4 separate regions of the Mus musculus genome follow, and all the other regions are reported to be linked to region 2. The links are microRNA targets in miRTarBase. Many come from high-throughput screens and were not tested one by one. Region 2 holds a microRNA gene; each other region holds the end of a gene's coding sequence. Distances are from middle to middle.
The links. The annotated mature microRNA mmu-miR-574-5p reads UGAGUGUGUGUGUGUGAGUGUGU and lies in region 2 at 2,441-2,463, opposite strand. An mRNA with a match to its seed (bases 2 to 7 or 8) in the 3' UTR can be bound and repressed. Matches are read on the target gene's strand: a 7mer-m8 pairs with bases 2 to 8, a 7mer-A1 pairs with bases 2 to 7 and ends in A, and an 8mer does both.

Region 1 (4,065 bases), not on the chromosome of region 2:
TCCAGGCCTCGGAGCAGCAGCAGGACAAACCAGGCATCTTTCCAAACTGGGTGCAGGAAGAGATGGCCATCTGGCCTCCATGCCACTCCACCCAGGCCTCTGTTGAGTGCTGTCAGTCACCCCTGCAGTCACAGGCCTTCTCCTCTGCTTTTACTTCACAGGCCTCTTCAGAGATGCCAGGGTGCACCGGTGGAACGACCCCAGATGACTTCATTCTGGTTTCCAAAGAAGATGAGGGGCACCGTGCCAGGGGGGCCTTCTCAGGCCAGGCCCAGCCTCTTCTCACCCTCAGAAGCACATCTGGGAAAAGCCGAGCCCCAGCCTGCTCCCCACTGCTGTTCTCAGACCCACTGATGGGCCCAGCCTCAGCCTCAGCCTCCTCCAGCAACCCCAGCTCCAGCCCCGATGATGACAGCAGCAAGGAGTCTGGCTTCACCATTGTGAGCCCCTTGGACATCTGAGCACAGGGCCCCACTGGCGGACACCCTGCTGAACCAGTGTCTTTTTCCCAGCATGCATTTGGCATTGGTTCAACCCACTGGAACTCTTTACAAAAAGAGGCAACTATGCTTCTTTCAATGCACTATGTTTACCAAAATGCAGATAGAGGTTTCCAGACCCTTACCTGACCCTGTGACCCTTGTTCCAATTAGGGCCAGGTCAGGTCCCCAGCTCCATACCCACTGTCAGACACAGCAGACCACATCAGAGCCACATGTCTTCCGTCCCCTCCTCCCCAGCAGCTCTGCCAGTTTACACTCAGAAGGAAAAGTTGGTTTCACAACTTCCCCTTATCAAAGCTTCAGCCACAGGGAACTTGTTGATACTGAGTGAATCTGGCAGGCAGTCTCACTCCTGCCTTGGAAGCCCAACATGCCACACAGAGGGAGCAGAGCGGGTGGCTCCCAGGGCTGGAGTCAGAGTGAATTGTAGGAGCAGGGTTTCAGATTAGGAATCAGATTCTTGTTTGACACAAATACAGTTCTGGACCCTGGGCTTCCTAAGCTTCAGCCACCGCTGTTCCTCCTTGAACAACTGGATTTCTCCTTCCAGAGTCCCCACAGCCGGGAGTGCAGTGGCTCCACGCCAGTCTGCTCTGAGATGGTTTTAAGAGTCACAGGGCTAACATCCTTGAATTGGAGAAATGTGTCCAGAGCTCTCCGGTCAGGTCTCTGAGCATGTTTAGAGCTACAGTGGCCTGTTAAATGAGGAGCACAGAGGAAAACCACATTCGCACAACCCGGAGTCAGACCTCCTGGGAATTAGACCTGGAGTTCCTTCTGTGGGAGCAGGTTTCCTGTAGAGCGTTCCAGGTACCACAAGATACAGGGCTCCTATTCAACCCCCAACACCCTATTCTTGGAGCTCAGCTGTAAACTCTGCATCCAGACACTCCAAGGATGGGCCTGCCTGCCTCGGGGCCCCTGCCTGGGCTGGGTATACATGAGACATCTCCCCGTCTATTGGCCGAGTACAGAGCTGTATTGGGCACAAAGCTAGGGACAGTGGAAATGGTGGATAGATGTAGCATCTGTTAGATGTCACCTCTGCCTTCTGTCCTCCTCAGAGAGCAGCTGGGCCTCTGGGCAGTGCCCCACCCACTAATAGCATTGTAATTCTCTACAGACAGGAATGCTAATGTCAGGATGCTCTGCAGGCTTCTTAGCTGTACTGCATAGCAGGGCTGGTGGCTCACTCACATGGTGGCGGGGCTCAGTCATGGCCTCATGAATTCTACCCCCTGCCTCTGACCAGTCTTCTCAGCATTCTGAGGAGCCTGCTTGCATACATGTCCCATGAAGCTGCTCTGTAAGAATCAGGGCCACCATCCATCCCTGCTAGAAGGCTTCCAGCAAGCATTCCACTTAAAGCCTTGACATAACCGTGTCAGTACCTTAGATCTAGTGTGGGAAGTATTGACTGATCCATCCAGGTCTGGGACAGTGCCGGCCATGTCTGTCACTGCTGAGCCCTGTCCCCAGCATCTCCTTTGCGTTGAGAATAAGGTCAATAGATAACTATCACTGGCTACCCACCAGGCCAAGAAGATGATAGGCTGACCCATTACTGTTTGAATGGACATTTCATAACCCCTCGACCTACCTGCCCTGCCCATGCCCGTGATGTGCCCCGCTCCTGTGCTTGTGTGGGTGCCACATGAGAACCCCAGGTTCACACTGAGATGTTTCTATGGTCCCTAGGCAGGCCACTCTCTCCTTGGAAGAACCAAGGATGGAAAGCTCTTCTCTAAGTGACTCTATTCTTCGTTGGTGACCATTGCTTCCCTTGGTTACCTACACTGCTGGTTTGGGATGCATTCCGTCCCTGTTATTTTATCAGGTACTTCTGTCTAATTGTACATTTTAAAGTCCTGGATATATAGAACCTTTTTCTTTAACCACATGGTAATCATCAGTTTTAATCTCTCACATTTTGATTATAGCAGCTAATACAGTTTTATACAAGCCAAGCCTAGATTAAGCCCTACTGTCGTCTGCTTTTTTATACACATTTCTGTGTTTCATGCAGTCCTCTCTGATCAGATTGGAAGTGTGAAGTAAAACATACCTGTGTGCCACAGAGGGTCGGTTCAGTGCCTCGGTTCAGTTCTCGAGAACTTCCTGGCTTAGCTTGGCAAGATGACCTTCTGCTCTGCACTAACTGCAACTTGAAGTGACCACACTGCTGCTGAGTGTAACTCTGGAGGGCAGCTGCCTCCCCGGAGCCCAGTTCTCGTAGGGGTGAATCTCCTCCGCACGGGTTGGCTGTGCTGGACAACCTTGCCAGCCATGTCTTTAGTGTCAGAAAGGCTGGACAAATGCCAAAACTCTAGTATAACCTGCTGTTCAGTACAGGTTGCTTTTGCTTGCTAAAAGCTCTCCCAGTGGCCACTAAAGACAAAGCGGGGAGCACCTGTGGCCCTGCACCGGCCAGTGCCATCTCCCTTCCCCACCCTGGAACTGCTAGGAAATGAGAGCTGGGGAAGAGGCCATGTGCATGGAGAGCTGTGGCGGCAGGCTCTTCACAGATCACATGGCCTCCTCCATGCTAGGCCCAAAAGCTGCTTCTCTCTTGTTGAAAAGAGGTGTCGTTCCTATAACCAGGCTGGTGTGGAAGTTTTCCTTCGGTGCATGAGGCTCGGCTCATCTAGTTGATATCCCAGCAGTGCCAACAATGTCCTCACGAGCCTTGGTGCCGGAGCTCATACTGATGTAGGAAATGCCTCCTTGGCAGAGCGAGCCCACTTGATGTGTACTAATAAAGGACTACTGAGAACTGGGATCACATCCACTTCTTCCAGTCACATAGCTCTGGGGTCCGGAGAGCATGGAAGCGCCTGGCCAGCAGGGCTGGTGTTGGCCATGCCTCGCCCTCACTAGCATTTCCTTCCTTTACAGCATGGGCAACCTTCATAGTCTCCTGAGACTGCTTCCTAACCGCTAAGACACCAGTGCTTCTCACTTCTCACCCCTTGCTGTCCCAGGGAAGGTTATGGAATGATGCTCCATTTCAGGAGTAGTCATGGCTCTGGAGGAGCTGCTGAAGGAAGAAGCCTCCCTCCCCCACCCCCACCCCCACCCCCACCGCCCCCACCGCCACCCACAACAGTTCATGAGCAGTCACTTACCGTGTACCCAGCCCAGCCAGCCAGTGGACACAGCATGTCCCAGCAGCCACAAGCCGGCTGACCAATGCTACAGGAATTTCTTCCTACTTAGCTCTACCTAAGAGGATCTGGGGTCTGAACCTCTCACTTCTACCTCAGGAACATCCTAGGCCAGTGCTAGCCGTTCCCTGGGTTTCCTGTCAGATTGGGCTCCTGTCACAGGCTCCTCCCGTGTTGAGCCTCCTCTCCATCCTTCCTGCTTCTGGGCTAAAGGTTGAGCCTGGCTTGAAGGGTGAGTCCTTCAGGCAAGGCAGGGCTGCCCTAGTTCAAAACACAAGAGCAATTACACAGGGCTCATCCATACCCAGGACAGCCCCTCTACATGGGAGGTTTTAACCGAGGCCTATCCAGTTGCCAGCTGGCCTCTGTGGCTGACGCCATGTTGGAGTGGCTTCTGT
Region 2 (4,066 bases):
ACTGGATCTGATTCCTAGCACTGAAAAAATATTAAATTAAAGAGAAAGAAAACTAGAGAAAGAACTATGCAAAACAGCATAATAAACAACGCCCTGAACTAGAGCAAGGGAGAATCTTGACCATGCCTTTGGCATGAGTATTCGGGCTGATGGGAGTATGTGCAAATACCTAGACATCAGAAATGAGCTCTAGAGGGCCATGATACACATCTGTGTGTCTGAGAGCAGAGGCTGCACGGAGGAACAGTGAGTCGGATTCTGAAGTGGAAAGCCCAAACAGTGGCCTCTGGGTCTGACTGCAGTGTCTCTTTGTAGGCAAACAACTCACTCGTTCTCACCGACTTTCAGCTCCCTCCTGTGTGTCAAGCTGGAATGGATAACCTGATCTGGAAACTTTGTTCCCAAGTCCTGACTGCAGAGAAAAATGAAGAGAGGGTTTCAAGATTTTCCTAAGTCTAAATTTATTGGAAGTAATGCTCTGTCTTCATTGGGCCATTTAGCACCGGTGCTTTTCTTGGTATTAAAATGTCACGAAAATGTAGTGACAGTAGATGGCTTCCTTTTTAAGTGGCCTCACTTAAAAATGTGGTTACATGATACTTGTCCCAGATTGTCTCTCTTACTTTACAAAAGTGTGACTCAGAGTAAACTCACAGAGGAGAGGCTCCCAGATCTGTCCAGTTCTCACAGTGCATACACTCTGACTCCAGGCCTGCCTCTATACCTGGCAGGTATTTTTGGAATCACAGAAGACAACTGTATTTGCGCTGTTTATAAACTAAGTGGGGGCTAGAGAGGTGGCTCAGTGGTTAAGAGCACAGGCTGCTCTTCCAGAGGTCTTGCATGGGTTGGGTTTCCAGCACCCACATAGCAGCTCACAACCCTCTATAACTCCAGCTCCCCTCCGGGTGTCGGGGGAGGCAGGGGGTAGCAGAGGGGAGAATCCAATGGCCTCTTCTGGCCTCAGTGGGCACTGCATATACATGGCCCACAGACACACATATGCAGGCAAAACACCCACTCACCCACACGAACAAACAAATACTAACACGAGTGTTTGTGTGGCCCTTCACAGTCCACACAACTCTATCTCTTGCAACTCAGCACTTAAACTTTTGTTCCCCTCAGCACTGGTCCTCTCTCTTCACACTGCTCCTAAACCTCCAGGCTGGCTGCCTGTACTGATGCTTTGTCTTCTGGTCAGGCCAATTTCGGTTTCCATGACTACCCAGCATCTTAGTGTCATCCTTAACTTTGAAGTTGATCTTTGTCTACTCCATATCCTCCTAAAAATTTAACTGCTCCTGTTTCTCTTCTTCTGAGACTTCCACAGACTTCTCTAATGCCTTTGGAAGACTCGTCTATGTCACCCTTCAAGCCTGTGAACCACGAGCCCTTGCTTCGTTCTGACCCACAAATATTTACTCAACTGATATATACTGTGTTTGATATTGATTTGAACGAAAAACGATGTCTCACATAAGCCTGCTCTGATGAAAGAAATAACTACTTACACTTCTGAATCCCCAAGATTCAGGAAGCCCCCCACCCCCTAACACCCCGCCCCCCACCCCCCACCCCCCGTCCCCAAATTCCTTCTACACTGGCTAACTTGTGCTTCAAATCCCACCCTTGGAGTTTCATTCCATCGCTGGCAGCTTTCAATGTAAGAAGTTTAATCAGAACATTTCAGGATTGATAGAGGAAATGGAGGAGAGAGTCTAGGATATGGGCTGGGGAGGAAAGAACTCTAGGAAGCCAGGTGAGCTAAGAGAGGCTTCTCGGAATGACCTTGTTTCTCTTGTTCTGGTGTCCCAGGGAGGAGTTCAAGGACTGCTGATTTAAAAAGCCATCAGCTTCTATCAAGAGGTTCAGGGGTGGACACTGATGGTATGGCCCAGAGAGTGCTCCCATAGTCTGCCGAAAGTCCTCCTTCTTTAAGAAAAGCCAGTGAAATCCAAGTGGGGACTGACTGACAGCTGGGAAATACTCACCAGATTCCTCGGAGAAGACAAGCTGGCTGGGTAAAGGGGCTGCCTTTGGGGTGGGGAAGAGGGGGCCCAAGAGGGTCCTGGGAATGCAAACGGTGCTAGCTTAAGGTGTTTCAGGGGGGCAGGAGCGCAGGCATGCTGGGTGTGGGGCATGCCAGGGAAAGATGATGGATCAGGATGGAGGTCAAGGCCTGTGCTCGGTTTTCCCAGGGGGAGGACAAGCTCACCCTAGGAATGGAGGTCTTTGACTAGCAAGAACTGGATCCCTCAGAGCGTCGCGCTGGGAGGACCCTACAGCCCACCCCAGACTTGGGACACTTGGGGAAACTTTCCAGACTGGCTTGTGCCTAGCCTCTGGCAGCGGACTCCACGGAGCTCCAGGCCGGACGAGGGTGCAGACCGGGCGTGCGGGCGTGTGGGTGTGTGCATGAGCGTGGACTTGGAGCGACACACACTCACACACACACACTCACACGCCCGCACCCACGCAGGGCCCTCGGCCGCGTCTCCCCCGACCTTCGTGCCCAAGCAAGTTGCTTTCTCGGGACGGTTCCCCGCCGGTGATTTCTCACACCCTACAGCGGACAAGGGTCGCGGCGCGCTGGTCCCCTCCCGCCCGGGAAGGGGATGGGGAGAGGGCGCCCCGGGCTCTTACCGCTTGGCCGGCCGAGTGCGCGCGGGAGTCCCGGGTCCCGCCCCGCCACGTCGGCAGGACCGGCGGGGACGCGGCCGCAGGGGAGGGACCGGCCAAGCTGCCCCGCCCCGGGCCGCCCTCCTCTGCCTCTGCCCGGCCCCACTGCACCCTGACCTGCTGCGAACTCCGAACTCCGCCGTCCCAGATCGGTGGTCGGGGCAGAGCGCGGGGTCCCCTGCCTTCCATTACGAAGCACTGGGGAAGCCCTGCAGGTTGTAAGGAGTCCCCTAGCCTCACCGTGGGATTTCCCGGTTCTAAATTAGGTGGAATTCTCTGACCACGTCAGCGATGGGAGTGGGATGTGATTAGAAACAAAAGTAAAAAGACTCAAAGGAGCCATGCTTTCTAGAAGGCCAGCTTGGAAATGTGGATCAAAGCCCAAATTCATTCTCTTTGGCCTGGGCATTGCACATCTGCGTTTGGCGTGGAAAATGTATTTGTCCAAAGCAAACAAAATCTCCCCTCCCCTCCCCTCCCCTCCCTGATGGCAGCAGGGGGTAGGGTAGGGTGGGGCGGAATGGGATGGGGTTTGCACCACGTAGTTTCTCCGTGTCGCCCTGGCTGTCCTAGATCTCACTCTGTAGACCAGGCTGGCCTTGTACTCAGACCTCTGCCAGCCTCTGCCTAGGATTAAAGGTATGCGTCTCCAAGGTTTGACTGGTCACCATTTCTCATGCGCGCCCCCTTTCTGGTTTTCTCTTTGTAAGCTGCTCTCTCTTTTTAGGCAGCTTCCGTTTGTGTGTGTTTCTTTCCTTTGAGGAGTTGCTTGTGCATTTCTGTGCAGTTGCAAACAATAAACACCTGTTAGAATAGAACTTTGTGTGCTTGGGGGGACTTTTCACCACCCTGGAGTTCTTAATTTTAAGTAGTCAGTTGTTGGTGTAACTTATATGCTTGAGCCAGGGAGTGGCACTATTAGGAGGTGTGGCCTTGTTGTAGTGGGAGTGGCCTTGGAGTAGGTGTGTCACTGTGGGCATGGACTTAAGACCCTCATCCTATGGACTGCCTGAAAGGCACTGCTCTGCTAGCAGCTTTCAGATGAAGACTTAGAACTCTCAGCTCCTCCTGCACCATGCCTGCCTGGATGCTGCCATGCTCTCGCCTTGATGATGATGGACTGAACCTCTGAACCTATAAGCCAGTTCCAATTAAATGTTGTCCTTATAAGAGTTGACACGGTCATGGTGTCTGCTCACAGCAGTGAAACCCTAAGACAGTTGACTTCTGCTAGTTTGTTGCTCTTTTCTTTTTTCTTTTTAGGAAGATGAGAAAAAATGTTCAGAGTGGGAGGGGCTCTGAGTGGGGCCATTCAAGACTGATAGTTTTGGATCTCTAAGCTAGTTCAGGTATTTGCATTTGCTTCCATTACTTCGTTTATTTG
Region 3 (4,065 bases), 32 Mb from region 2:
TGAGACTGGAGTGTGGGTTGGGCTCTAGATGGGTTTAGGGTTGAACACTAAAATAGTCAGTCACTTAAACTATTTTAAACTTAAACTAGCCTCCCCCACAACTCCCATATGTGGTTAAGACAGGGTCTTTTGTAGCTCAGTCTGGCCTTAGAATTCCTGATCATCCTGCCTCCAACTGCTAAGATTATAGGTGTGTGTCACTACAGCTCACAGTAAGATTGTTTTTAAGCAGGGGCTGGAGTTAAGAGCACTTGTTGCTCTTGCACAGGATCCAGGCTGCATTCCTAACACCCATGATGACTCACAACATCCATACATCCAATTCTAGAAGATTCAACACACCCACCAGGCACCCATGTGGTGCACACACATACACACAGGCAAAAGCACTCATATACATTATATAAATGAGTAAATCTTAAAAGACAAAAAACAAAACACAACTTTCTGAAGCAGCAAGTAGCTTAATTTGTTATGCTAAACAGGTTCATGAGTTCTGCCACAGATAGTTTCTAAGGCATTTTTAGAAGCTACCAGTTATAGAGGGTTATAAACTAACACGGCTGTTCTAACCCAGCATGGATCCCACCTACAGTGTCAGCACTCACAGAGCTAAGGCAGGAGACTAGAGCTGGAAGCCAACCTAGACTTGGCTGTTTTAACCCAGCATGGATCCCACCTATAGTGTCAGCACTCATGGAGCTAAGGCAGGAGACTAGAGCTGGAAGCCAACCTGGACTTGACTCTGTCTCTAAACAAACAAAAAAACAACGACAAAAACAGTGACAACTGCTCCAATCAAAAAACTCATTTTATTTGCTCAACACTTAATAAAAAAATCCTTTAAACATTTTATTTTTATGTGTATGAGGATTTTGCCTATATGTATGTCTATGTACCCACCATGTGTGCCATGTGTGTGCCTGGTGCCCTCAGAGGGCATAAAACAGCAGATCCCCTTGGCTTAGCCATACAGACAGCCTTCTGAGTGTTAAGAATAGAACCCAGGGTGTGGGGGACTTTTGAGATAGCATTGGAAATGTAATTTGAGGAAAATACGTGTAAAAAAAAAAAAAAAGAATTGAACCCAAATTCTCTGCAATTGCTTGTAGCTTTTCATCTAGTAAACAGACACTGTAACATGTAGTCTAGGCTTCAAGTCATAGATTCACCTGTCTCTGTCTGCCTCACCAATCATGGGGTTAAAGGTAGCCTGTATTTTACTGTTTGTCTTTGTGACTTTGTCAGTAAACTAGTATAATTAATAATCTGTGTTATCATTCTTAGGAGCACATGATGTACTGAGTACTTATATATGAGAAGCTGTAAAGTAGTTTTAAGAGGTCTGAATAATTTTCCAACATGGTAAATGTCTATCCTTTAACAACCAATACTAATTTGCTTACTTTTCGCCCCTAGTTTTAATTTGAATGAACATTTACAAAAAACAAAACAGTTTAAGATACAAATTAGTGTACATTAACTAATATTGAGACTAAGGCTTATTTTCTTGAGCTACCTTAAGTATTGATTACTCAGAGATAACATCTAAAATCCTATTAGCAATTGTTTGAGTAAACAATTGTTCGTTTACTCTAGTATGTAAGTTATCCAATCGCATTAAATAAAAGCATGTGTGACCTAATAGAACATGGCTACAGCTCAGAGACTGTCTATGCTTCAGTCTATGTCAACTTGTGCTTACATATCTCACTGTAAAACAAAACAACACAGAATAATCACTCAGACGTTGTATCAATTAGACAACTTTTACTAAATGAGAAAACTACATTTAAAATGTGCTTTAAACAAAATGGAATTAGAAAAAAAAAGACATATGCATTTTAAAGAACTTTTGCACTGTGCTGAAAATCAAATGTTACTTGCAGTAATATAATGTGTCAATCCATAAAATGTTAACAGAGTTCTCAATTTAACACTTTCAAGGACGCTATAAGGTTTCACACATCTATGGTAACACATAAGAAGGGCATTATATAAACATTATGTCCATCCTATGAAGCGTACGAATTTGACAATGTTCAATAAAAGACTTTAGAATCACATCCAATAAGTGTCACATCCAAAGAATCATAAGTCTGTGTATGCTCTTAGTTCCTCCTCCTTCTAAAATCTTTGTTGACTTTGCTACTCCTTGACATTTGTTAATGCTAACCCTTAAAAAAAAAAAAAAGAGAACAGGGAAAGAAATAATGCAATAAACTCTTGATCACATACAGAAATTATTGCTACTATACTTCACTACAAAGCATGTCTATACACATCATGACCTTTGATTATGAAAACGCAGAGTAAAAATCTTTAGTGACATAGCCTTACAGTCAAAACAACATTCACATGGCAATTATTAGTGAAGCACCCAATATTCAGAGCTGACAAATGTCCCACTGACCAGCGTTCATTTAAATACATCCTTCACATAGAGAGAGGGAAAGAAGAGAGCCAGCTATCCAAGGCTTGTCAAAAAGGATTCTCATGTTCTGTGAATCTAAAAACAAACAAACAACAAAAACCCCAAAAAACAAAACCAATGCAGGTGAGGGTAATACCAGAAAGTTAAGCATGCCAAAAGGTGTTTCGTGCGAATTAGAACCCAAAGCCAAAGTACCACATAATCACATTACCAACTAGTTTTGGATATTACTATATGAGCCTTATCTTAAATGAAATGCTACTGCACAATAGAGCATCAATAAATTAAAGATTAGAGTGCACAAATCCAAATCAGTGGCAATTTTGTAAAAAGCGAAATACTCATTATCAGCTGCAAAGTTTGCCCAGTCAAACTGTTTGATTAAAATCAATGGATCAGATAGTTTGTATATTTTTAAAACCTATCGACCTCTAAAGTTCCTTTTTACTGTAATGAGGGGTAAGTTTTCTTAGTAAGATCCAACAGTTACTTAAGTAGATAAGTAAAGGAAAAGAATAGTTGGTGAATGTCTTTAAAGCTCTTCCCATTTTCACTTTTAAAAATGTTTAGGGAAAAATAGGAAAAGTAGATGCCATTATTCTAGCAAAAACAAACAAAACAAAACAAGCTCAAAATAATGAAACAACCAAGCACCACTAAAACCACATTACACAGATGGATCTTCATGCTTTCATCTGGGTCACTAACAGGGCTAGTTTAACTGGGATGCTTTTCAACTTTAAAAACTGTGATATGAGAAGATAGAACTTTAATGGATACTTTTGAATTTGGATTTAATTTTGTTGAATATTATAACAGAGTATACTTATTACAATACAGTGTAGCACATCTTTCTATTAGAAAAAAATTTAAGATCCTTTACCGTCTCCTTAAGTTAAAGGTGTGACATCATAAAGGGTGTCGAATGGCTGGATGGTTTTACAGTGCACACTTATATATTATGAAGTATGTCCTTAACAAATCTGATGGTTTCTCTTTCTAGAATTCCTGTCTTCACCTTTTCTTCGGTGGATTAGCTGTTCGAGGCGGAGTGACAGGACGTCCAGAATTCAGCCCACCATACTGGTACTTAGCTTTCTTTTCAGATGGTTTCAATATCTTTAAATAAATAAATAAATAATGTGTTTATTAACAATATTATTCTTTCAATAAATGCCATCAACTGTCCAGTGAAAATAAAAATACCTTAGCAATTCTGCACAAACATTTCTTAGATTGAAGTGTAAGTTTGGCCGAGCAGCTCAATAGGAAGTGCCTGGATTTGGTCTGCAGCACCGCCCTCCCCCAAGGAAGAACACTTGCTTAACATTTGCTTTAGATTCTAGAAACACAGCTTAGATAGACAGCCTCATAACTGAGGCTTAAATTTAAGTTTTAAAGAATCTTCTCTACTAGTTCACCTTATTAGAGAGGAAAAAATACTGGTCTGAGTCAAAAACCCTAGGTTCTCATCTAAATCTGACCTTTCCCCCAGGTTTTTTGAGATACGCTGTTGGTGTAGTCAGGCCAACCTCAAATTTGTGGCAATCCTTCTGCCTCACCATTTTGAATGTTGAGATTATAGGCGTAAGCCACTGTATATTTCATATACAGGTAAGTCTTACTTAAAG
Region 4 (4,065 bases), not on the chromosome of region 2:
CCTCACTTCTCCAACAGATCTTCCCGTGCATGGCTCTAAGCCAGAATTCATTTTCCTCCCAGATGTCCCACCTTCCATTCCCTGTCTGAACCATAGGCCATCAGTTTTTTAATTGACAGGTGATGCATCCATACGATACACAAGCTATTCTCTCTACAGGGAATTAGCTGTCTTGAATAAGCCAAAGTGGAAAAGAGACAAGGTAATTCTTCATGGAGAAACAGACTGGTAAATACTCAGCTAATGCCACATTCACCCACTGAACGACAAAGGACCAATCCAAAAGTAGAGTACTAGGCTTAGAATATAGAGTCCACTGCTGTGCTACCATGAATGTGCCCAGTTTTGTCTGACCTTGGAAGCTTGGCATCAGGCTAGGTTAATTCTTAGGTGAGGAGGGAATATCACCACAAGCTACAGCCTTGAAGCCTAGTGGAATTGCCACCCTTGGGGTTTAGAAATTTTTTGGTCCCTTGTGACCCATGAACAGAAATTTTATATTCTGTATCTTAGACTTGTAATATCAAGGGACCAAAAAAAATGTCTTCTAGTTCTATAGGTCTGTAGATGGAGATGACTTTCCCCAAGACTCACTAACATCTGGCTTAGATGGCTAAAATAATGACAATATGCAGCTTGGAGTTGATACTGTAATGGATTGCAACGCTAGCATTTTGAAATAACTTTATTTTACATGGAGGATGAGCTAGGCCAAGGAAGACAGGGAAGAAAGGCTGCTGGCTCTCAATATGTCCATATCTTGTCTCTGGAAACTAGTTCTGTGTTACCTTTCATGACAAAGGGGACTTTGGCAGATGAGATCAGGAAGAGACCTGACATGAGTTATCCTCGGTAATCCAATGTAACCACCAGAGTCTTGGCAAGGAGGACACAGGGCCGTCAGAGGCAGAAAGCAAAAGAAGAGCTCACAGTGACATGAGGTCACGATCCACAGATTGAGCCACCTGTAGAAACTGATGAAGGCAAGAAAATAGATTTTTCCAGAGCCTCCTATGTTAGCTTTCTCTGAAAGAAATTAATGAAAAGTGTATTTGGGCTCATGGTTTCAGAGACCTCAAATCCATGGTCATTTGGTGCATCCTTTCTGGGCCAGTGGAAGTACAGCATGACTGCAAGAGTGTATAGAGAAGGAGACTGCTCACCTCATGGTGACCAGGGCACAGAAGGGTCAGCAACGAGACCCAGCTTCCCAAAGCATGCCAACAACTAGGTTCTCTGCCTCTATGTTTCTGTCACTTCTGTTAGTCCATTAAACTAGGAACCCATTAACTAATCCATAATGAGCTCAGAGCCCTTTAGATCCAATCATGGATTAGATTCTTCTGGGATTCTTGCCACCTATGGTCTTTGCTATGCTGGGGACCAAGTCCCCAACCCAGGAGCCCTGGGAGGATATGGCACATCCAAACCAGAACTTTTCTAGATGGAACACAGCCAAGTTAATACTTTGTTTTTAGCTATCTGGGAATGGTTTTAGACTTGTGTACTAGGATGATAAGAAGTTCATGTTGTTTAAAGACATATAACAGCATGAAAAATTAACAGCAATGGAAAATTAACTCAGAACCAACATCCCTGTGATGCACCTGTAGCCTGCTGGACTGGCTGAACAGAAGTTCTTGGTCTTGCTCAGAAATCTTGTGTCTGCTGGAAGCATTTAGGGGACTGAGAGAGCCTAGCCTCTTCACTTGTAAGAGGTTGTAAAGTATTCGGTTTTTCATGATCCTTAACATTCAGTACTTAAAATTGTGATAACTCAGGGACTTTCTTCTGTTTAGGACTCCAGGTCTTCTTCTAGCTAATTAACTTCACAATATGGTGTCTCTTGAATAGTTTTCATGAATAATTAAGAAGTAGTTCACGATGTGTATTTATATATAGTTGAAAGAATTACGCTAATACTCGGGCAGATTAGTAAGATCAATATTGTTGCATTGGGTAAAAATATACATGAAGGAAGCATGTCTCTATCTGTAAGAACTCAAAGTGGCTTTAATGATACTATAGTAACTAGTTCATGTTCTGCTCTACTACTTCATGTTACTCTCTTAAAGAATCATACTTCCTTTTGAAGACATTATGGGAAAGGGATTTCCTTGGGTGGACTTGTTCCCAAACGAATCGCCTGTGTGGCTCTGAGACGCCGTCAGCACACACACTCTCTCAGAAATCAGGGAGATATTTAGGCACAGCATAGGATAGCTTTTTAGAGGAATGGAAACTTGCCTGTGTGAAAATCAAAGCAGAGAAAATTCCTGTGCGATCAAATGCATTTATTATGCAACTTAAGCAAGACAAAGGGTGAACAAATTCGTAAAGTAGATGCCACCCATCGATTAGCAGCTGCTCATGCATACAACTCTCTGTGTGCAAGGCTGAGTTCTTTCCGACACCAGCAAAGGGTTGCTTCCTCCACGAAATGAACATCATGTTGCTCAAATTATCATCGCAATCCTGAACATCTGCTACTGTGGCACAAACAACCCACTGACCCTCTCAGCTCCAAGCCAGGCAGCCGACACCCACACATCTGCCACGCAGACCATGGCAAGGAGCGTCTTGTTCTGAAGCCAAAGAGTTCAGAAGCGCGAGCACAGGATGCAAACTCGGAGACACCGAGAAGGGACCCACATCAGGCAGATGACAATCTGCCCTAGCAGTTTTTGAGAGCACGGATGCTTGTGAAACAGTTTAGGCTGGTACTCACTGGAGTCAAAGCTGCCCCAGTTTAAAGCCGGGGTGGGTGGAGTTCATCACATAAACTGCTGCGGCAAAACTCGCAGAGACACTGTCCACAGTGCATGTGAGGCTCCTGTGCTCCTGGTAAAGGTTTCCCTAGCTAAAGTGAGACTCTGTGAAGGGCTGAGCAAAGGGAGGGTACCAAGCCCTGGAGAACCTGCCCTGAAAGCCAGGGTGCCATGTTCTATTATCTACTGTTTATGTGTTTCTTAGCATGTCTTAAACGCTAAGTCTGAAAGCCACAAAAATTCTAGAGCTGGGATAGGTCATCTACTCCAGACAGGCCACCTTACATGTAAAACCATGGCAGTCCAGAGAGGTAAAGCAACTTGTTACAGGCAGAGAATGGTGGGAAAGGGCTAGATCAGACTGCAGTAACCTAACCCTCACCCAGGAGGGGGCTCAATTGCATATATGTGGCTAATTGTTTCAATAAAGAAGCCTTAATACTGTCAATGCATTTTTTTAATCCAAAAAAGAAAAATATCATCTCCCCCAAACCAAAATGGTGCCTTCCATCTCCAAATTCTGCCCCTCTATCACATCCCAGTCCTAGCCTAGTCCTCTCCCCCTCCCTCACCTCCTCTCTCTCTCTCTCTCTCTCTCTCTCTCTCTCTCTCTCTCTACACACACACACACACACACACACACACACACACACACGAGTGTGGGTAGCTTGCGGTTTCTTGCTGTACAGAGACAGAACACATCCTCAGTAAGGCACAAGTGTCTCTCAGTCCAGGTCTATGCGTGATGTCTGGGAAACTGGCTTGTTTTCTAGAAGAACGGGTGCTTCCGAAATCAGGAGATCATCCTCCCCAAAGGAGCTCTGCTCTGTGTTCACAAAGTTGGGGATGTCAAACTTCATGAACCTGGCTAGCTCCTCCTCAGGCCTCCCACTGCTTCTGCTGGCTTCCTGGAGGTGGACATCACTGTCGATGGCTGTTGTTTGGTGGCAAACTTTAACCCTGTCCAAGTGTTCTACTTCATTGATGTAACAGTGGAACAGAGACCTGGACTCCTCGTTGCCCTGACGAGAAAACACCTTGTCTGACTCCAGCGGCTTCCCGAAGTCTGACACAAAGCTGTTCATGCGGAACCTCCTCTCTGAGGACTCCGCGTTGCTGTAAAGAAGAAAAGGAGAGGTCACAGATCTGCCAGCCTACACGCCTACCGCCTCATGCTGTCCTGTGTGGAGGCCAGGCCAGGAGAGTCCCAGAAAGCATCTACTTGGTGTCTCTTAGGTTATGAAGACCAGCATCAGCAGTGAGGCACATCACTTCTGAACACAGACCTCCAGATGGA

Region 1: miRTarBase lists Tbc1d5 as a target of mmu-miR-574-5p. Seed matches in the 3' UTR shown: 7mer-A1 at 756-762.
Region 3: the mRNA of Ppp1cb is a reported target of mmu-miR-574-5p. Seed matches in the 3' UTR shown: 7mer-A1 at 986-992.
Region 4: the mRNA of Mrap2 is a reported target of mmu-miR-574-5p. Seed matches in the 3' UTR shown: 7mer-m8 at 3,424-3,430.

The regions. Positions count from the first base shown.
Region 1 is chr17:50,732,341-50,736,405 of GRCm38, reverse strand. It overlaps Tbc1d5 (TBC1 domain family, member 5), which reads left to right. Exons shown (of 22, transcript NM_028162.4): 22 at 162-3,279. The coding sequence ends at 461. Among named protein-coding and RNA genes, the nearest start is that of Gm41598, 56 kb to the left of the region's middle.
Region 2 is chr5:64,968,725-64,972,790 of GRCm38, reverse strand. Mir574 (microRNA 574) reads right to left here and starts at 2,473; the gene lies at 2,396-2,473. It overlaps Fam114a1 (family with sequence similarity 114, member A1), which reads right to left and starts at 2,716. Exons shown (of 14, transcript NM_026667.3): 1 at 2,647-2,716. It also overlaps a transcript of Tlr6 not described here.
Region 3 is chr5:32,490,442-32,494,506 of GRCm38, reverse strand. It overlaps Ppp1cb (protein phosphatase 1 catalytic subunit beta), which reads right to left. Exons shown (of 8, transcript NM_172707.3): 8 at 795-3,553. The coding sequence ends at 3,449. Among named protein-coding and RNA genes, the nearest start is that of Ppp1cb, 34 kb to the right of the region's middle.
Region 4 is chr9:87,182,260-87,186,324 of GRCm38, reverse strand. It overlaps Mrap2 (melanocortin 2 receptor accessory protein 2), which reads right to left. Exons shown (of 5, transcript NM_001177731.1): 5 at 2,280-3,884. The coding sequence ends at 3,494. Among named protein-coding and RNA genes, the nearest start is that of Mrap2, 40 kb to the right of the region's middle.